Linked DNA regions of Lepisosteus oculatus. The protein of the gene in region 1 interacts with the protein of each later gene in a biochemical or structural test. Links are inferred from orthologs where the notes say so. Each region holds a gene or a part of one and is shown in the gene's direction. Other genes may lie near its edges.

Region 1 (7,890 bases):
ATATGGCCTCCTAAAGAACAGGAAAAACTGAGTTTCCAGTCTCCCTTTAAGTATGCAGTATTATTAGAGAGAGCTGCATCCAAACTTTACTGTCTGAGAGAGCTTCCAACATGTTAGATGCCCCCTGGCCTCCAGGCCAGCCAGTCCCCTCCGCAGTCTTTTAGTAGTGCCCCATGCCCCTCTAAGTTCCCTGTACTGTGTTAACAAATCAAGCAGTTCCAGCATCTAGCCAGGTAAAAACACTTGCTCAGGGGGTCCACAACAGGCAATAACTCCATTAGAGCTTCACTGACGCACTGGCGAATAAAAAGATGTCATTAAACACTCAGGGCACCAGGCAGGGGTGTGCCATCTGCAACATTCTTCTGTTACCTCCGGACCGTATACAGAGGAAAGTCTGGATGACCATCACCCCCAGTGCCTTCCCCACCTCTCTCTCTCATGCTGCTCATTAGCCAGCCTTGGGCTGTTTCACACCTCATTGCTACCTCTATTTGCTGCAGTATTTGCTGATAAGCCCTCTTTAGTAAGTCAATGGGACCCATTCAGAACATTCTGTCTGCTTTCCAGGGCAACAGGGCAGATGGCAATGGACAATTAAAGACATTTATTTAAGCTTTTTTGGCGTTTCGGAAAATGGCTGTAAGCAAATACTTCTATTCTTTGAAGGAAATGTATATGTGGCTAGAAATAATTTCTTCTTCAGATGAGAAGCTTGTAACATGTTCATGTTTTTCAAGATGGTTTACTGGTCCCTGTTGATTTATTTTTGCAGACCTACAAACTACTCATAGTTCTCTGGGCTCTGAACAGCTGCCCCCACACCAGAGGAAACTAAATGCAATTTGTGTGTAAATGAAGTGTTAAACGTGCCTTAGAAATGTATTCCATTAGTACTTTATGTGTTATAAATTTTCTTTGGAAAGTGTTTTCTGGTGTTTTTTTAACGATTTTCAATTAATATTTGGATTTTCTGCCTTAAATTACAAAGCAGTGCATGTAGAACTATGAACCAGTCAAAGAGGGCTTTATTACTTATGTTTTTATATTAGTAATATTTATAATGTAACTGTGGTAGATTGCAGAAATGTGTGCTGACATTTGTAAACAGCATTTCTTTCTTTGCACAGTGACTGGTCCCTGAAGATTCCATATTCTTTTTTTACCTAACTTTTTAAATTGCTAGTTATTTTTTATTATTATATTTATCAATTTTAGAATCTCCAGTTGTGTGTTTTTCACGTCTGGACTCGTGACTACGACCTCTGACACTGCACGCTTGTAAGAATGAGGGGGCGCAGTCAGACTCCTCCACACAGCTCGCCGTTGAGTCCCCTGTCTTTACCACGTCACAGGCACCCAAAGGTCACTGCTGGTTGGAGGACAACTGCATCCCTCGCTGGCAGCGTCCGCTAACCTGTCCGTCGTTATGTTTGCCAAGAGCCGGGGGAGCCCAGACTCATTAATCCCACCCTATCCTGAACTGCGCACAGACCTCACGTATCTCTTGTCTGGGTGACGGTGACGTCAAGCTCTGTTGACATCAAATTCCCTGAAGCTAAATAGTGACAAAACAGAACTTTTACTGGGGGGCAGTTAATGCCTCCTGGAGAGCTTCACAGTTATCACGGACAGCTTATCCGTTCAGGCATCAGCCTTACTCTGGAAACTGGGAGTCGCACTTGGGCCTCTCCTGACTTTGGCTCCGCACGTGAAAAATTAGACTAATATTTTCACCTAAGCAATATTGCCTGCATTAGATCATTTCTATCAGTGTCCGATTGCTGAGGGCCCGATTCATGCATTTATACCATCGAGGCTTGATTTCTGCCACTGTTTACTCTATGGGCTCCCTAACACTCTTCTCAGTGAGCTCCAATAAGCCCAAAACTCTGCAGCTAGACCTCTAAGTCACACCAGATCTCGGCAGCATATCACTCCTACACTTAAATCTCTACATTGGTCGCCTTTAAAATGATGTATTAAATATGAGATCTTCTAACTTTGAAGGCTTTAAACAATCTGGCACCATCTTACATCTCTGAGCTCCTCCATGTTTACACTCCTGTAGGCTTTGGTCTGTTGAGGCTGGTCCTTTGCTCACTGTACTCAGGACTAAATCTCTCACTATTGGTGACCGTGCCTTTTCTGTTGCAGCTCCATCTATATCTATATCTATATCTATATCTATATCTATATCTATATCTATATCTATCTATATCTATATCTATATCTATATCTGATTGCACTACAGTCAGATTATTGTGTATGTTCTTGTTTTAATGTCTTGAAAGCCACTTTATAAATAAAAGGAAGAATAATGGATGGTTTAAATGCCTTCTTCTTCTTAGGTGAGCAGGATAGTTTATAAGGAAGAAGTAGAGGTTCATACATGCTGAAAAGAGAAGAAAAGAAAGACAACTTTTTGGCTCTGGACTCTATTATAGGTGTGAACTAATTGAACTACTTAAGGCCAGGATAGTTTATAGCTCAGGATAGTTTCCAACTTCTAATAAGCAAAAAAAAAAAAGAATTTGCTGTCCTTTCTTATGCAACCTCTTTCCCCTTCACATGTACAGTATTTCATCCTGCAGTTTGGTGACATTCCTCTCCTTGACACTCTTTTGTTGATTATTTTATTTAGTATATTTTATGCACAGTATAATACGCTTAATGAGAAATAATTTTACCATGCGTAATAAAACTGTAATTTTCCTATTATATAGGTGTGACTTTAAAATATGCTATATATAACGTCATAAAAATATTTAAATTATAGAATTACACACATAATATATCCTTCAATATAAAAGATATGTTTAAATATATAAGTGCTCTTGAAGGATAAAATAACTTGGCTACATCTGGCTGTGATGAAGGTCTGTAAAACGAGTCCTGTCTAGTATCAGTCACTCTAATAAAACATCTGGCAGAGGCGCACATACATCAAAACGTATTGAGAGCACAGGAAGACTGCATTTGGGGTTATTATCTGGATTTAGTCATATTTTAAAAGGCATGTGGTAGTGTCTGGAGTTTCACGTTTCAATTTATAATAAATACTTTAAAGCATGCGGACAATGCGTGCCACTACCTGTTCGAAACGGAGAAGAAATTCACGTCAAATACAACGTATACCACAGAGGTATGGTGCTTCATAATAGCAATGCTAGCACGATCGAAGGGAACGGGTTAAAAAACTTAATCCACAGATTAAGGTTCTTATCTAAATGTAAACCCCAGTTTAGGCTTTTTTTATCTGTACTTTAGACTTGGTCTGAATTTTCAAAGTGAAAATTTTACTTATACATAGGCCTGGTATCGCTAAGAGTCAATGTATATTAAATTGAATTGAATTGTACGTGTGCATCATCTCATCTTGATGTACGACTGTTGCAGTCGACCTCTTGTAAACTGTGCAAAACAGCCTTGGACCGTTTAAAAATAATGAACTCGATGAGGCAAGTAATTAAACAGAGCCACTGACACAAACTATTACGGAGCCGTTTAGCGTGGTTAATAACTGAAAAAAGGTTAACCTCTGTTAATACAATTATTAAACATCGCCGGGTGGTATTATAATTATTAAACATCGTCAGGTGGTATAAATATAGCATACTTGATATGTTTATCTTTGTGGTTCATCAAAGATTAGGCACCCGAGATGCCTGACATGATTGTAAGATTCGAATAATACGAAATGAATGTGTTCATTCAACCTTGTTTCATATAATGCTAATTTTATCTGAGTAGCCTGGGTTACTGAACGGAACTGGCTTCCTGTAACGGTTTTTGTTTAATCAAGTTATCAAGTAAATTAAGTTTCGATCAACAAATTCGTTGAACCTGTCGCCCTCGGCCTCAGCTGTGTTGTTTGCAAAACCGACCGATGCTCAGCTGCTTTTTTAAGACGTTTCTGGTTTTAACACAAAAGTATGAATGGAGTTTTATTCTGTTCTATTATTCTGTTGTTGCGCCGAAGTAGTTTTTAGTGACAGAACATACCATATTCAGTGAGAAAGTACATACAATTTTTAGTAAGAATATATACAGTTCCTTACCCTCTGTATATTTAACACGGTGGCGTTGCCATCCCGTATTTGACCCTTATGTTGCTTTAACTACATTTTTAACTACATTCATACACATTTTTGAAAAGGGTGGAGCTTCAGCAATGCCAAATAGAACAACATTTTCAGAGAGATGTTGATAAAAAATGGTCAATCTTTTATAGAACGTCTTTTTATACAATACTTAAAATGCAGTCTAATTCCTTTGATGTCAAGATGCACGAGATTATGCTGTCTGTATCAGCATTACAGTACTGTATTTCACGAAGAGCAGTTTCATACAACCACATCCGATAAGTTAGTTTCTATAATATTTAAGATTATTAATGACATTTCAAACAAACTCCACGGTGGCGCAGTGGGTTAGCATAGCTGCATTTCCCCGCTGGGGCCCTGGGTTCATTTCCAGACGTGCGGTACTGTCTGTGTGGGGTTTGCGTATTTCCCCCGTGTTCATACATCTAGCTGGACATGTGATAAGAAGAAAAATCAAGAAGATAACTTCAATCTAAATTACAGAGGTCTGTGAGAACACAGGTAACAAAACTCACTATAATTAAGATGTAAACAACATTTGTGAGCCTACTTCTTCATATTATGGACGTGAGAAAAGTATTATAGAAACGAAAAACGTGGATACTTCGCAGTTCGTCGCTGAACGAATCACCATGCGCAGGGTTTGGGTCATATACTGAGTGTATATGCCGAATAGTTCGGCAGTATTGACATGTTGGTTTACTTTTCCGCTAAAAACTACATATCCCAGAATGCCAAGCAGAGGGGGTTGAGTCTCACTTGGGCATGGAGGTGTTGGAGGATGGCTCGGAGGCAGGTTAGCTCAGTCGATGTGATTATGTATTCTCCGTATGATGGTAGGGGGCAGGTTTCCATTAGTTCGGCTCTTGTTGTTTCTGGAGCGTTTGAACAGTAGGGGGGAGGTCGCAGACAATCTGCGATGTGAATGAGTTCGGAGGAGCGAACGAAATAAGGAGATACAGCGTATTTAGACACGGGGCTGAATCATCAAGCTTTTATGTATCAAAATTCATTTGACTTTCAGCCTGAGTAGCTCAGGAGCTGATAGGAGCCTATCTCAGACGCTGTCTTAAAAAGTTATCTGGAAGACGGTTATCTTTGTGGGAATCTGGCTTCTTTCAAACAATAAAGAAGTGGAGCGCAGTTTTTTTTCTCCTTCACGTTATCACCACAAAAAAAGGTGCACGGCGTTTCATGAGCTTCTGCGAAGATTACTTTTCCCTCTCCAAACTTTGCGTATTTACCAGCTGATTTATAGGGGGGAAATACGATATTTTCTCCTGTTAACAGAAACTCGTAGTTTGGCTGTTCCGCGGCTTTGCTGTGATCTAATCTCAAGAAGTTTTTTTTTAACCTATGATCTGAGCTCTGATTTTCAGGAGAAGAAAGCTACTTGTCGATTCGTCTGGTTCTCCTTCCCCGGTATTTGCTAATTAACTTTGCGGAAGGCATTTGCTTTTTTTGGTACATACCAAGCCAGTTGTTTGGTACTGGATCTACAATAATGCAAACTTTCTAACGTCTTATAAGGATTCAGTTTCTTCTCCGTGAGAATCCCGGCGGCGCATCGTCTTGGAACTACTTGGCAAAAAAGGTAATTATTTTTGGAACTATAACTGAGTGAGAAAATATCTAATTCTAATTCTGATGTCAAGAATTTGTCAAAATCCGTAAGTTTTCATAATTTTATGAGCAATTTTTAAACACAAACTCAAAATACAAAGGATATTTCTGCCCCGGTCCAACATATGATTTTTATGTAATTCTGCAGTTTCACACGTTTTAAGAAATAGTGCGAATATAATGTGTTTCGTAAATATTCCCGTAAGATGCACGGAATTTTTTGAGTCTCAGTGGTTTTCGTATGCTTTGTAGCCTGAAGCTAATATTCTTGGAAAAAAAAGAGTTCTTGTGTTTTGGCTAATGTCCATCAATGCCAGATGTAGAACGCGTAATGAAACAGAACGTGCACTGCTTATTTAAGTGGTATAAATGGTTTTAGAAAGAAATTCTGGACTCCACAGTACCTATTTAGTTAAACCCGTAAAAGAAATGCAGTCATGACATCCAGCCTAAGAATTAATCTTGGTTAACACAGGAAAAGTGTTAGCGGGTGACCGGACTGTTGGTATTCCCTGAGGTGAGAGATACTTAACACGTTAAATTCGAAAAACGAATGCCCGTCAATAGCCTTGTCTAAAGTAAATGCAATTTAAAAACCAAACGCTGTTACGTTCTAGTGATACATCGCGATTTGTTGGTACGGAAGACAAAATACTGGGAATTGGAACTCATTTGGTTCAAAACGAGTGTCGACTAAGCGCGTTTGGACAACCCGTTTAATTTTTATTGCGAGCAGGGGGTTCATTGTGCCGTGTTTAACTTTCGTTGAAATGATCTGGCATATCGAGGTATCGCCGGCAACGAATGAGTTTTTTAAAGGCCAGTTTAACGGGAAAGTCTTTTTTGGGGGAGGGAGGGGGATGCCTAAGACGTTTCAGAGCCAGAAAGAATCATGGAAAATAGCAGTCAGGTTTTTGGCTCGCGGGACGGTTAACTAAAGAAGGGATTGAATTGGAAACTTTTTTTTTTCCCCTAGCTTGATCTCAGAACTGCGTTTCTCTCGATATCCCCCGTGACGCTGAGTGAAGCGCCTGGCCTTTTGGCTTTTGTATCCATTTGTTCCAGGCGGATCACAGGCATTTCACACGTTGCCTTGTGGACCAGCGTGGTGTCAGTCGCTCGCCTGAGGAGTCCCAACACTTGTTGCGTTTGGTCACTTGAAGGCACAGGGCTCTAGCAGAAGTGGGGGGTGGGGGTTATGAAGGCAGTACTGGGCTAGTAAGTCATTTAATTTAATTTTTGTTAGTATGTTAATTCTAACAGCGCCTCAGCCCTCACGAATGACTATTACAGCGGGCCGTTTCCCTCCACATTTAACGAGTAGTAGAAGATGGATTTTACAGAAGCGCGTCAGCACTGTAACGCTTCTACTGTTAAAACTGAAAACTATCGCCGGAGGGTCTGTTTACCTACTAATGTTTTATCTCTTAGTTTTTTTTTCTTTCTATAAGGATTAAACGAGGAGGAAATGTTGTAAAAAGGGCTTACTAACGTAACTCTAAGGGGGCAATGACCAAAACGTGCCCTGAAGAAAACAGTGAAAAGGCGCTTTGACCCGAGTGAGCTAAATATGAGTGACCAACGCCGACAGGGCCTGTATTACAAACAGATGACCAAAACACTCTTGATGTACCCTTGTTGTGTAAACACTGCATATCAATTTATGATATGTTGAAATCGCAAGCAAAGCCTGGTCCATTACACGGATTTCGATCCCTTTTAAGTGTAAGAGCAGTATCAAGGTGTAATTCTTAAGCGTTTACTGTTAAGATATTGAAATCTCTAAGACTGTCAATGATGACCTTATCTGTTTTGTTTTGTACGGTATTATAACAACGCGTCGTGAGTCTGACGTGACAAGTAGCGCGTCTTTTACCAGGTTTCTGGCGAACTTTCTGGTGGTTTTCAGTAGATTTCGTGGGGGAGGGGACGGGGGTTTGAAACTGAATGACGCACCGAAAAAGGGTCGAACCCAGGCATGGTAATGGGACACCTTTATTATTTTTAAAACTAGACGTTTACAGTGTTGATGATCTGAGCACGTATGTACCTGATACCTTACCAAAAGAGAGCCTATGTTATATTTTAACTTCAAGTCCTTTCCATTTGTGTTCATATGTCCATTGGAATCACTAACTGTATCAGTTTTCAAAATGTTTTC
Region 2 (7,927 bases), on another chromosome or scaffold:
AGCAATTATTTTTGTTACCGGCTTTTGGTTTTCGGTCCGACAGCAAACTCTAACTTGTTTTTTAAGAGTTCTGACAGAACACGCCTGATTGTGAAACCATTCGCACTTTAACAGCCCATTTGATCTTAATGATGTCTGAAATCAGAAAGTTCTTGAACCAGCCGATGTGGGCGCTGGGGCAGAGGGGTTTTAATGGTTACCGAAGAGGTCCACAGGAATATCCCAGACTGTACATAGGAACTGTTGCCGAGTTTTTATTCTCCTTTCAGATTAGCTTTTAACCAAAATAAAATGAGTGAAACGCTTTAGACAAAGATGTTAAGGAGCTGGGTTTTTTTTTCCAGAGCATTCACTGTCATGGAGCTGAATCAATTGTGATTCAATCGAGCATCTCTTCATGATAGGCTCAGTTTCTGTGCAGTCTGCGATTAGCACTGACATATCGTGAGGGTGGGAAATCTTTATTAGGGCTTATTTGCGCTGAGAATTGCTAGTGTTTGCTTCTGTTCGTTGTGTGTGAAAGTCTCTACCTCAGGAGCCCACCCCCACCCCCCCGCACACCCACCTTTGAGTGCTTTATGTGCTGTGGGTCGAAAAGAAAACCCATTTCCCATGTTAGTCATCCTGGACAGGTTAGCCATGGAGCAGCAGAGCGGCTGCTTTTGGGGTTAATGGGGAGCCCGGCCCGGCCTCAGGCTATGCAGAAGTGCTCAGCCATGGAGCATGAGTGTTGACTTTTGAATGGGCCATTAATATCGGGCCACTTCAAGAGAGAGAGAGAGAGAAAAAAAACCGTACACATCAAAAAAACAAAACTGGGGCTTTAAAAGAAAGCAATTCTTGAAAGAGGAAGAAGAGGCCAATGTGTAGGCCTCGAGTCTTGTTTGATTTCAGGGAATGCTTTCAGGACTTCCCAAGTGACTGGCAAATCCCCCTCCCCTACATACACCCTTTTTACCTCTCACTACTGTCATAAAATCAAAAGAACAAGGCCCTGTCACGGCCCTAACACTCCTCCCATCGAATGTGGTAGCAGTCAACATTGTGTGATGTGGGCCACCCACCCGTTTTTATAGAGAAAGGTAAAGGCACTACGTATCTATGAACTACTTATTAAAAAGGCGTCGGGAGTGCATTTGTTTTTCTGATCTATGCATCCATTCTTAATCTGCTTTTCCTGACGCGGGGCCATGGTGTCTTTTGTGATGTTTTGTTTTAAAATATATATATATATTGGTCTAACGCGTTTGATATCTCAGACTGCAAAACTAGCACTCATCCATAACTGAAGCAAAATCATTTTAATTGACGAGTTACCGCTTATCGGATATTATCTAAACGTTTACGCAATAGGGATTACTTCTGCCCTCTGGCGGACAATCTTTATTACTGCGTTTCTCACGAGTGCCTCGTTTACTTAAAGGAATTCTGATGACTAAGCAACTTCCCTTCACTGCATTATCATTGCTGTTTTGTTCACATCCCATTTTTTTTACATTTCTAATCAATTATCATGATAAATTTGTAAACAAAAGTGAAGACGTACTATTGTCAATGTATTCTCTGCTTTTCGCATTCAGAAGGTTAAAAAATATAAAAATTCCGTATGTTTGTCAATTAAAAATATAATAATGTATCCTGTACATATCAATATCTTAATTAGAACAAACATTAAATTTGGCAAGAAGTAAACGTCTTACTGCATAAGTGTATTTGTACAAAGCTACTTTTTAATTTGTATTGTGTTATTGTGCTATGTTAAATGCACATCTGTTAGTTATCCAAATAATTTCAAGCCACATTTAGGTTAGTTAGCGGCCTAGGGGCGGAGCAGCAGCTAGGTTAACAAAGTACGCGTGATCTAAAGGTTAATTTAATTACTTCTACATTACATGCTTTGCAGATCTAGAGTTGAGCTCAAGAGCCAGCTTTCAGCATTACACACATCGCCCAAGATTTGTTTGTTTTTTAATCCATGGAAAGAATATAGCGTTGCAATTTATTAGCAGTATTATTTTTTTGTTTTAAAATGACCGTAAAGACATTTAAAAAGGGGAGCCTATGGCGTTGTTGAATTTGCTGTAATTGCCTTTTCTGTCCCAGAGAGTAAAGACGCGCAATTTGTATGATTTGTAAAATAAGGTTCTTCAAAACAATTTATAAACTGTATTTTCAGTCATGTTTTTTTATAAAACGGTATCGGGGGAGGGGGAAGCTAGAATCAAAATGATGTGCAGTATTAAAACAAGGCTTTAGAATTGCTTTCATTGGTTTGTATTCATTACTCTTGGAGATAATAGTGAAAGTAAAATATCAAACTTATATTTTTTATTTGTGTTGGTGGGGAGTTGCACATCTGTTTCAGAGCTGATAAGAGTTTAGATTTCTTAAAATAATTGTAATTAAACTTAGCGGAGCTCTTTGCGTTTTCGTCTCCCGGGGGTATGTAGAAATTTTAATTTTATGATCCCTCTCATACCGTCATTCACGCGCTACAACGCTAGATGTATTTGCGCTTTTCATGTGTTCGCATAACCAGCTGAACAGCTGAAATCAGCAACAGTCACAAGTAACTCCGCAATGCCAGATAATAAAGATACAAGCCCTGTATTCTGTGCGAGAGAACGAAACTGGGAGTCCCAGTGTCCAGCCTTTCTTTACAAAGACGAGAAGAGATGGTACCTGCATGTTTGTCTTTCTTTGCAAATAGGTGTTTAATTAACTCGAGTACCTGCAAAGAGCAATTTGCATCTCGGGCATTGCAGTCTTTGGTATAATTGATTACCAGCGATCAGTCAAAAGTAGACTAACCGATGTCTTTCAATTTGAACACTCCGTCCTGAAGGACATTTAATGGGTGCTGAACAGTGCCAGCTTTAGTCGCTTTGGGGGTCAAAAATTACTTTTGTGGACCTTATAGGGTTGCGCTAAATTGACAGGCGTTCGTTACTTTTTTTCAGTCGGTGAAAAGATAGCTCTTCTCATTTAGGAAACAAAATGTTAATGGCAATTATAGGCTTTGATAAGATAAAGAAAAGATGGACAGCAGCGAACGAAGCAGGAGCTTCACATCGCAGGTTTACAGTAAACTTCATCCCTGCCAATCAGCTAGGCACAAGAGTCTAGGAGAATAGGATCTTAAAAAGACGAACTGGCCGGTTCTCAGGTCTGTATGAAAGGTAGTGGTGTTTTGTTCTCCGAAGTTGGTCCGCGCGGGTTCAGCCTTTTCAATTTAAGGAAGCTAGAAATTATTACCTGTGTTCACACAGTAGAATAGAACGAAATTCGCTACATACAACATATCACACTGAACGTGGCAAATCTAACTTTGAAAATATTGTTTATATAGGATTTTTTTTCAAAAGAATATAATATTACTCATAAATCCTCTGGTAAGTGTAAGGTTTGAAGATCCTTGTTTAAAACAGCAAAATGTATATATGGTGCTGCTTTAATTGTAAAGCTCGTGGATTCAAAAAAACATTTGAGCATACTTAATGATGGAAGTTCAGCTGTGCTGAATTCTTATGCAAGATATAATTTCTCATTTTTGAAAAAAAGTTGCAAAAATGGGAACAACCCCTCAGAAATTCATATAACTATTGCGGTATAAGTATTCTTAATAAATGCATTTAAATTTAATCGGCTTAATCGTTGTTTTGGTAAGGCTACAATACTATTGGCTTCTGGTTTTACGAGAATAATAGATATTAACGAGGGTAAAAAAGGCCGTTAAAAGCCACATCGCTCTGATTAAATCAACTTTGCAGCCCGTCATTTAGCTAGAGGAGTTATTAAACAAAACCGTCTGGGTTGGCTTGCAGTATTAAAAAAAAAACAACAATCATGGATACATTCATCATGACCTGAGCCATCATTTAAGAAGCAATGATAACTTTCCTTAATAAAATGGTAGTTTAAAGTTAATGTCGTTTTTCTTGAAAATATAAAGTCTCTCAATGAAAAAAATTAGAAAGTTGCATAATGTATCTTAATTTACCCTTGGCCCTCATACAGCGTTTCATTTTCCTTGACGTGAAGCATATGAACGCTATCGAGTTATTGAACGACAAAGCTTCTTTTCTACTCTTTGCCTGTCCTATAGATATAGACAAGCTACAAATTTGGATTAGCCTTATCAATAGTGAGTGGTATGGAATTAAGTCCTGATTACGAAGTGTGAGAGTACTAGTGTCAAAGACACTAGATTACACTGGATGGAAACTTTATATAATTGGGGATTTAGAATTGGGTCCTTTTCCCCTTAATGTGTTTTTAATAACCGTTCTCCTTGGATTGTTCTGCGTTTCTCGTATCATTTTGGAGCTCCAGCAAGCGTCTTAGAAAATGTGAAAAGACGAGGCGAGAACAGGGCAATTTAAATAGTTGAGAATGTGATATTCCTGGGGAGGCGTGAGTGTTGTTGTTTTTTAAAGCTGTAACGTTTGTAATCCCTTTAATACGTCTCACACATTTCTTTGGTAACGTCACCCCAATACACAAGTCGGCTTTATCAAAGTGTTTCTGCATCAACTGGGCATCATTATTTTCTTTTAAAAATCATCAGAACTTCATAATTACATGTACTTTTCTTTTTTGATACTTCAAACAAAATAGCTTACGCTTGTCAAGTTTTAAAGTCAGCCATATAAGATAAGGCTCGAAACGTGCCTTTTTTTCCCAAAGTTTTCAAATTAGGCTACATTTTTTTACTCCCGTTTGGAAGATTTTCCATTATTTAGGCTTATAGTCAAATGTATCGCCGTCGTAAAATATGTTATTTTATCTAGCGAACGTCCATCTAATCCCTCTGTCACACTCACAAAAAAGTGTATCTTTTCAGGTTTCATTTGAAAGCATTGACCTTTGTATTTTTTCGTTTTACCTACATGCGTTTTTTTTATTTTGGATATGTTATAGCTCCTCCCGTTTTCACTGAAGTGTTCGCTTTTGTCCAGGTGAAGGTATATTTTGATTGGGGGCAGCTATTGTTCTAGAGCGAAAGAAAAGGAGGCTGGTACGGAGGATCTTCCTACCATTTTAATCAGGGGTGCAGGCGTGAACAGGGGGTTGACATTGGAGACTGGAATGGGAGTAGAGGAGGGGATAGGGACTGGATAAGGACTCAGTCAAACACTGCTGCTCACAGAAGCAACATCACCCAGGGCTACTATTACCAAACGGGATTGCGAAAACTGCCACTACTGACCGACTTCAAGGAAAATCACTACAGGATCCTAACAAATTTATCAGGACAGTAGAAAAAGAAGTGATTCACCAAACAGAAACGCCTCGCCAAGGATTTTTCTCTGGGAAAGATTTTTTTTCAGTGTGGTCGTGACACGTAAAATACAGTACTTACTGCAACTAACTCTGGGGAAATACATTGGAGGTTTTTATATATGCGTATTTATTTCTTTTCTACGCTCTTCTCTGCATTTTCGGCATCAAGCGTTTCGTCCAGCTCTGAAAGGTGCTTCTGGTGGATACACGTTGTCCACGTTTTTTATTTATATATAATTTTAAATTATTGATATAAATTGACTTTGACGCTTTTATGAACAATCAACGTCCCATTCTGTCAATGAATTAAACCTGTTAGGGGGGAGAGAGTATAACATTGGATGATCCTTGTCTTAAAACGGATTATTTCTCCGCTGTCTTCAAAGACATTGATTTGATAGATATTTTCTTTTTTTCCTGTCACTCTTATCTTCTCAATTGTTCGTTTTTTGTGGGTTGCTGAAAATTATAATATTTCACCTTATTCTAACGCAAGGATTAAGAAGAAATAAAAATACTACGACAGTTGCCACTGGGCTGAACAGTATCTCCCTTCAGTTGTTTGTCAGATAAGAACCGCTATCTCCTGCAAAGGTACTGAGGGATTCTTGAACTATTTCAATTGCAGAAGGGGGCAAATTTGTCATATTTTAAATAATCTTCAAGGACAATCAGGCCATTCATTTGTTTCTACTATTTCAAAGCAACTTCAAAATGAGGATCATACCTTCAAGATTAAGCTACCTGTAAGTACATTTGCTTTATCCTTGATTTGTTTATAATGTTTCTGAAATGTTTTAAGTATTCAGCTATCTTCTTTTCTTCTCTTCCAGGATACTTCACCTCCTCGCTTTATGCTTCCATGCTCAGGTATGTCCCTACCAGACTCTGCTTTTTAATTATGTTTTAGAATATTGTATATGGATTGACTTTGTTCAGATGAAACGGTTGGAATTAAGATAAAGTAAAAGTCAATATATTATTTACGTTTGACTATAAATCACTTGAAACGTTTCATTAACTTTGTCAGAGTATATGTCTGAATACACAATATACTTTGGTATCAGAGCTGTCATCCGTGGAGGGCGTAAATATGGCATTTGTATTAAATTGTCATAATGACATCAGTGAATTATCAGCATATCGCTTTTCACGATATGTACAGTGAAACATGTTTCTAAGACGTCAGGTGATTCTCAACGAAAATAGTAATAAATATTGGAGTAAATATATATGTTTAAGGAAGTGCACTGTTATTCTAGAATATTAATGACGTGAATGTGTGTGCCTATATATATATATGTCTGCACACACATCTTGAAAACCCGTATAACTAGGAGAAAAAATGCGATTGCTAAAACAGATGGGACTGGCGTATGGCTGAAAAATTGACAGAGGATCGTTAAAAAATACGGCACAGGTAGAAAGAGAAGAGGGTGTAAGATAATTTTATTGGTAGGATAACAATATATCAGATGGAGATCCTACTGAGTGAGGACAGCGGTCTCGCCACATGCTGTACTCGTCACAAGCTGGCAGGCATTTCTCTAACCATATTGCCCCTCGTCTTAAAGGAGAAGCTAGGGCAGAAATAAATGTGCCAAGAGTAGGTTTGTGGAGAAGGTCAAGGGGGGACTATTAAGGCCAGTTTTCATTCACCAGTCCCCGTTGTTTCTTTAAAGCAGACCTCTCAATTTGACATGGGTTATTGGGAGTCCAGCTTGATATCTTCTCTATTCCTCGAGTTGACGTGAAAAGAGAATCACCCTTGAACATTTGCTCAAAATCCATGCAAAGTACACTGTTCTTGTAACAGGTTTAAAGATCAGCCGTATATACGGTGCTAATCTTCTGAGACAAACCGAGGTATCCTGCACACGGACTGCTAGTATAAATTCCTATTTCATATTTCCGGACAATACAATCTCGGTTACAGTGATTTTCTGTTTCCTATAAAAGTTTTCCACAAGACAATCCATATACAATGTCCTGTCTTTTGTCTTTGAACTGTTTTTATATTAAATGTACTTTAATTCTAAGATTTAGGTCATTATGTAGGGTACGCATGTATTTAAGGGCAATCTCTTTTAAGAATAAGAGTCAATTTGCTTAAATCCTTACACTTATAGTTGAAGAAAATATACATATCATTGTATATAGTTATTTTTTTTTTTGGGGGGGGGGGGGTGGTTCAGATATTCTTCAAGAGATATGTAAAGGTATGTTGTATATTTCTTTTCTTAATTTCTTAAAGGTAACCATTCAGTCCTCGCCTAATTTTACACAGCATGTGAGTGAACAAAGTAAGGTGACTGACCGGGTGAGCCGTAGGCTAATTCGGACCTACCAGCTGTACAGCCGGACGAGTGGCAAGCACGTGCAAGTTCTGGGGAACAAGAAAATCAATGCCATGGCAGAGGACGGCGACGCACACGGTAAGACCTCTGGTATTTCAAATACACAAATGACCCTGCACGGGGGAAGGGCCACCCAGAGATCACTCTCAAACATTTATGACTGAAACTTGCCATAGGTGAAGCAATAGAGGCTAATTGATTCAGCTTCATCAAATGTGGTTGTGAACACAGCGCGTGTTTTAATAACATGAGCCGCTGGAAAGTACATCTGTTTTGTCTAAGTCACT
Region 3 (6,827 bases), on another chromosome or scaffold:
TTTTTCATAAACTGTTCTCTGTAGTAACAAAAAAATATATTTAAATCACACAGAAGGCAGAACTGGAAGACAGCAAGGAACAGTAAAATACTGTAAAAACATCCTAGTGTAAGAAAGTTAAAGCTCAGATTTCTAGCCAGCAGATGGAAAATAGTAGCTATAAAACACTTAACATAAGCTCTTTTAAAAATACTTTATTCACTTATTTCTGTGAAAGGTATGAATACCGTTGTCTGTTCTCAATATATGTTTGCTTTCCAGGATATACTTGAAAGTATTAAAGGATTTGTTTCCTTAGAAATGTCAGGACTGAGGAATCTGGCTCTCAAAATCTTTAGCTGAAGGCATTTCTGGCTTTGGAATGAAGCTTGCTGGTTAACAGGCTCTTTGTTTTTGTCCCTTCCTAGGCTACATTTAATCATACTGTGTGTGCTGGGTTTATTACATTATAATATTGCAGTTACACTGTACACAAAAGATCTGTATCAACCAAGAAAATGAAAGTAATATTTGGAGGTAGGATATATTTTACCTCATGGTAAATTATTTAGGGAGCATGCTAATTCAGAACCAATTGTCGTGAAAAAGCCAGAGATTTGAACTAAAATCGAGTTCATGTTTGCTGTTTCATTTGAGATTGTGCACTGCCTTTTCTTTACTTTTCATACCCCAAGTGACCTTTAATAATTCTTACATTTATAATGGGTATTTCTGGACAATCCTCTCAAAGCACTTTATAGGGAACGGGGACTCTCCTCTTCCACCACCAATGTATAGCACCCATCTGGATAATGTGACGGAAGCCACAGTGTGCGAGTATGCTCCCCACACACCAGTGGGGAGGAGAACAGATTAATGAAGCCAATTCAGAGCTAGGGACTGTTAGGGGGCCATGATTGGTAAAAGCCAGTGGGGTATGTTATAGTGGGGTAACATACCTACTCTTTTTGAAAAAATGCCATAGGCTTTTTAATGAGTATAGAGGACCTCAGTTTTACTCTTTATACCTTTTTACAATATAGTATCCATGTAGGATCCACACAGACTGCAGAGTGAGCACTCCCTACTGGTCCCACTAACACCTCTTCCAGCAGCAACCTTACCTTTCCCGGAACGTCTCCCATCCAGGTACGGGCCTGACCTGTGTTGGGATTGAGAAGCAAATTGACTTGAGCCACAGTTGCAGTGCAACCAATTCTGTTCCAAGAAACCTCAACCAGGAATACTACCAATATATGTCATCTACTGCTTTTTTGCATTTGTTTATTTACACGTGCTTGTTTCAAACCTGTGTAAAGATTGAGTCCGTTTTTCTTCTGTTCTTTTTCTGCTCAAGGCAATGGATCAAACACTTTGAGAGATGTCAGTAGACAGCGAGGGTTACAAGGTGCCACAGATATTCATTTAATTAATTAAAAAAAATACTTAAAGTGGGACACCCAAAAACAGAAAAAAAGTTTCAAGTTCACATTCATGCAATTGTTTTACAAGATACATGAATATGAAACGAGTACTTAGTTCTCGTTTGTTAGAATGGGTTGTAAAGATATTAAAGGCAAAATATGCTGTTTCTTTGCTCATTTTCTGCTAGACAAATTTCTTTAAGGAAATCTTTCTGAGATGCTGGAGCCACTCTGTAATAAGAAAAAAACCCACAAAGGTTGCTTACAGGGTGTCGTAAGAATACTGACTAGTTTTTTACCAAGTATAACATCTCAGGTCTGGAAGGCTAATAATCATTTCTGATAGGTTGTTCAAAGGTATACCAACAAAACACCACAGAAATGACCGCTCTCCATACCAGCTGTATGGAGAGCGATGCACTACTGCATATAGACCTCGATACACGAATGTTCCACCCCAGTATTCCAGTGGAAACAAATCACTATACAAGCCCAACATTGTCATGCATGGTTTTCAATAGATCTGCATGGGAGAAAAAAAAACACGATAACAAAAGTGTATCTATCAAACATTGCACAGATGTTTATTCACACACAACTAACAAAACTCATCTTCAATGTTGCCTGGGAGAAAATCACCACTGTTAGCAAATAAAAGAAAATCATTAATGTTATGAACTGCAGACAGGGCAAAAGAACACTGAACTGTGGACATTTTCTAATTATCTTATAATTACAGAGGACGACAGTCACATGACTCAACTAACAAGACTGAAGCAGAACTGTCATTTTTTTTCTGCACGCAGTGATAAAATCATCTGTGGGGCTGCACTTTTACTGGTTACAAAAGTACACAAAGAAATGATCAGATGTTACTAATCAGGGGAGATTTTGTGACATAAGACATATAACACCAGGTCAACTGTAAACAAAAAAATAACAAAAATAAACCAACTGATTTACAGATGTTGGAGAAACATTATATTCAATGTTAGTTCATGAAACAATCATGTGCACTGTAACCAAACAACAACATCCAGTGAGGATGCCCTATAAGGTGTATGTTTTAAACGTTTTAAAAGCGCCTTTTTATAAGGGCCTGTTGGCATGATGTAGACTGAGCTTCATAACTATGTTTCTAAACCTTAAATAACTTTATCTTAGAGGGAAAAGGATGACCCAACAGAATGTGTTACAAATGCATAGTTTAAAATGTGAAAAGATTGGTCGTTGATAATTAAAACACAATACAGTTTTAATACAGTATTTTCTAAAGAGTAAGATTTTTTTAAGAATGCAAAAATGTGGGCATCTAAATCTTTTGTTTTGAGTCTATTAAAACCTAATTTGTTTCATTGTATGTGTGTTTTTCTAATTTACAATAATCTGATAAATTGTTACTCCCCGTTGCCTTAATAACAGGTATGAAAGCTGCGCTGAACATGCACTGTATGAAAGCTGGCTGCCTTATTTGTTGCCGACCATATTCCAAAGTGAAAGAAGAACTTAATTTTGTTGTTTTATTCTGTTTTAAAGAGGTTTGGTTCGCTCAGCACTACTTGTATCACAGAAATGTACTGTTGTCTCATCAGCGTTGCCCAGAATTCTCCTTTATTGCCGAGTCGGGTTCATCGTGAAGATTGATTTCATGTGCGATTGTATTCATTCATTCAGGCTTTATATAATCCTACTGTACATGTAGTCTTCATTTTACAGCAGGGCCCGGATACAGTATACTATTTGGTTCAGTTTAATATATTGACCAGGGGTTTAATCAGACCAAGAACCTTTAATACCTTTCCGTTATTCCACATGTATCTGTTGCATGCTATAGATAGTTCTTCCATACAGATTTCGCTTTGATTTCATTTGCTTATTGGTACCTGCTGTTCGGTGAAATGCTGGTCTTTAAACAACCAGCTGTGGCTTTCGACATTCTTTACTCCTTTCATTAGTTTCGTAACCGATACAAAGTGCCAAAGATTATTTTATTAATATATTCTCCAGTACGATCTCATATGATCAAAGCCGTTATCTAGAATTTGTCTGGATACTCTTTCAGCCCCACGCTAGAACTGCAGGAACAGTGTGGTGTCCGGCCATCTGGTTTCCAACTACACAAAATGACAAAATGCTTGAGAGTTGCCAGGATATAATCTTTATGAAAGATGTTCCGCCGTGTGACGTTAAATAAAAAAAAATATTTTTAGGTAAAAAATATTAAGGCAATGGCGCAACGGAATGATGCTTTCAGACCTCAATTACATACTCATAACATTTTTCCTGTAACGTTTCAAGACTTCGTACTTACCAGCTCGACAGCTTTCCTGAACTGCCACTCACCCCAACCCCTCCAATAGGGCGCCACATGCTGTTCTGACTCCTCCTCTGTGGATTAGTGAAGTTTCTTTAGTTTCTCCAGCAGGGACATCACGCAGTTTAGCTTGATCAGAGTACACAGATAAAAGCACCTCGGTCACACAATGTTTGTAAGGAATCCCAGTGTGTATCTGACCCTGTTATTGTGGATTATAGTCTCATGGAACTGGGATAGCGTCGCTGCAAGGAAGCAGGACGAGTCCTTCTTCACTGCCAGTATTTACAGAGCAAGATGCACATCGAGATGTCTCAGCCTGCACCTCACTCGCATCTCTGCTTTTTTCAAACATTTCCAGGTAGATCACGTTTCATTAATCTTTAATGAATGCATGGTGGATACATAGTGAAATGTGATTGTTACATGTGTTATTATTCTCAGCATATTAAGTTGCCAAGTAGCTGTTCTTGCTGAGCGCGCATCAGCAGTCCCTGACGCTTGTCCGAAGGCTCGCGTTTAATTGTTGCTCTTGTTCATTATCATTCACTGAGAGCGATAAGCATCGGAGCTGAAACGTCAATGTCTGAGTTCCAAAATTCAGAAGCCCTTTATCGAACTAAGAGTGGCGAATGAGTTGTTCGACTTCTGAAGTTCCAAGACTTTAACTAAAGTTTACCGAGAGGGATCAGTGTTAATGAAGAGTTTTGGAAAGAGCTTGAATTAATGCTGTAGAAACTGAGGACTGAATCCTGCATATGCAGCAGAGTTACTGGTCCTGGCACTGCTTCTTAAGGATGCGCTTTGTGATTATCGGGGTATTCGCTATGTCCGTGAAGACTTAGCTGGTGAGTCGTAATAATTAAGTTACATGAAAGAGAATACTAATGACTGGACGCCCCTTTTTACTTTTGTTTATTAATTGTAATCTAATGCGTTTTACCTTTTAGCGCATACTATTTGAAGGCATTTTATTTAAACAACTGTTGACTTTAGACACTTTTCTAAAACAGAATGTATAAAATGCAAGACTAAAGTGATATTTAGCTGTAAATTAAAAAAAAATCCAATTGAACTGTGAATTAATAGAGTTGAAGAAATGCGCTACCGGGATTTGTCCGTCTGTAGCGGTTTTTGAGTTACTGACTCGTTAACTTCATCTCGATAAATGGCTTAATAGTAGCTTGTCCGCATGTGCTACTTTGACGCCGAGGATAAATAACTGAATAAAAAAATAAATGCGATTTCAAGATTGCTTTTAACGTGAAATCTTTTATTTATAACAATCGCCTACAGAAAAACTCCCCTGCAACCTTTTCTTCAAGGTTTGAAGGGTAGTAATATTTGTAACTCAATTTTAATGTACTGTAGCAAGTATGTATAAGTAGTTTAGGCATTTTTATTGTTACACCTAGATGAACACGGTTTTATTACAGTGCTATTTAGTGAGATGCATTAATGTGGTTATTTTTTAAATATGTCTATATCCTTTAAAAGAAACCAGTTTAAAAGTTTTAAAAAAGTGATTAACAGGTGATGTTATACGGTGTCTTTTTCATTTCCATCATAAACTAATTTGCAGGCTTGAGCAGCGCCTGACTGCGTTTGTTCGCTGCCTCCTGCGGTTTGAGGCAAAATTATGGGGTCCACAGCATCTATTATTCTTAATTGTTGCACGTAACTAGTTTTTAACATTTTAATGACTAAAACCATAAATGATCCCACTTCTGCTTATTTTTAAAGCAGTCATCCTCCATTTTCATCCCACAAACGTTTTTGTACTGGAAATTCAATGGCTATGGGTACTGGAATTCAACACCTGGTCTCTTTTTTTTTCCACGGAGAATGGCAAAGCCTACTATAGTATCGGGCACCGGGGATGTTTTTTTTTTTATTCTAAAGCACTCGGGGTGCGGTGTAGTGTCTCGAGCAGATTATTTGAGAAGGAATAGTTTTTAATCCTTTCTGGGTTGAGTACGTATGTTGTGTCAGAAGATGTTTTGCACCCTTCAGTGGACACAGTGTTCCCTCTCGGGAATTCAGCGAGAAGGATTTGTAGGAGACTTTTAGCGCTTTATTGAATGATCTGTATATGGTATACAGGCTTTCTTAAAAAAAAAAAAGATGATGTAGGAGTTTAGTAAAAAATATTCTGTTTAACTAAAAAATAAAATTTAGACACTTCTCCACGTGTTCATATTAGTCATATTAGTTAATTTAAAATTGTAATCAGGTATGACAGTGACTGATGTTTGTTTGAAATAGCTGTTTTGTTTAGTGAAATTGAAAACCAGAGTAAAAGTTGATAAAGAACATTGCAGAGATATGAAGAGAACTTCACAGAGCAATTAATTGCAAAAGGCAAAAAAGTAATTCAGTTGAATTGTGATAGCAGCCAGTGGAAAGCAAATGGTTAAACTGGAATCCATATTAATTTCCTGTCCCTCTGGATACGTTTTAGTGCTCATTTATTTAACAATTCAGCTATAGACTCTTCAATTCTGATACACTGAAAGTGTGGAAGACTGCTCCCACGCTGTCTGCTTAACTAATTGCCTTTGGTCATGTGGCCTTAGGCTCACAGCAAGTCTTGTCATTACCTTGATCGCCTTTAATATTCAATTCCCAACAAAAGCTGAATTCTAAATAAAAAGCTAAACCATATAAGAATACTCAAATGCAGTAACTTTTTTACTTGCAGAAATTGACAAGCCTTGTCGTATAAGGCTATTTATAACATTATCCAGAAAACGTTCTTGAATCTGGCCAAACACACTGGTTCTGCCAGGAATAGGAACAGTGGTTACAGGTGACACACTCTGAGTCTTGCCGAAGCATTCTGGACATAGAAGGAGAGGGCAGCTGCAAAAACAAACCCATCGTCTTTGGTGACCAAATGGTACAAGGTCACACCTCTCCAAAGCACTCAATTCCATACACCATTTCCATTTCCTCTGTTAATGCAATCTTGTATACTACACCTCATTAGTAAATTTACAACAGAGTGATCTGCCAGGTAGGGTTTTATTCTAACAAAGTAACTGACACCTGGGTATGTGCGCAATTTAAAAGAATGCATAGATCAAACATTTGTCGACAAGAAAGCTGAA

What was found. The genes of interacting proteins can lie anywhere in the genome.
Region 2: the proteins of fgfr1a (region 1) and fibroblast growth factor 8 interact in a biophysical measurement, tested with the Homo sapiens proteins (2 studies listed by BioGRID and IntAct, with this or other methods). The link is inferred for Lepisosteus oculatus from reciprocal best matches to the Homo sapiens genes FGFR1 and FGF8.
Region 3: the proteins of fgfr1a (region 1) and anosmin-1 form a complex in vitro, tested with the Homo sapiens proteins (3 studies listed by BioGRID and IntAct, with this or other methods). The link is inferred for Lepisosteus oculatus from reciprocal best matches to the Homo sapiens genes FGFR1 and ANOS1.

Annotation. Positions count from the first base shown.
Region 1 is NC_090697.1:72,342,227-72,350,116, reverse strand, and holds the start of fgfr1a (fibroblast growth factor receptor 1-A), read left to right. Parts: upstream 1-4,885; 5' UTR 4,886-4,902; intron 4,903-4,929; exon of another isoform or gene 4,930-5,636; 5' UTR 5,637-5,700; intron 5,701-7,652; exon of another isoform or gene 7,653-7,710; intron 7,711-7,890. UniProt on the Homo sapiens protein: Tyrosine-protein kinase that acts as a cell-surface receptor for fibroblast growth factors and plays an essential role in the regulation of embryonic development, cell proliferation, differentiation and migration.
Region 2 is NC_090699.1:35,823,301-35,831,227, forward strand, and holds the start of fibroblast growth factor 8, read left to right. Parts: upstream 1-4,912; 5' UTR 4,913-5,997; coding exon 5,998-6,029; intron 6,030-6,116; coding exon 6,117-6,153; intron 6,154-7,537; coding exon 7,538-7,718; intron 7,719-7,927. UniProt on the Homo sapiens protein: Plays an important role in the regulation of embryonic development, cell proliferation, cell differentiation and cell migration. Required for normal brain, eye, ear and limb development during embryogenesis.
Region 3 is NC_090708.1:22,445,382-22,452,208, forward strand, and holds the start of anosmin-1, read left to right. Parts: upstream 1-3,812; 5' UTR 3,813-3,886; coding exon 3,887-4,078; intron 4,079-6,827. UniProt on the Homo sapiens protein: Has a dual branch-promoting and guidance activity, which may play an important role in the patterning of mitral and tufted cell collaterals to the olfactory cortex. Chemoattractant for fetal olfactory epithelial cells.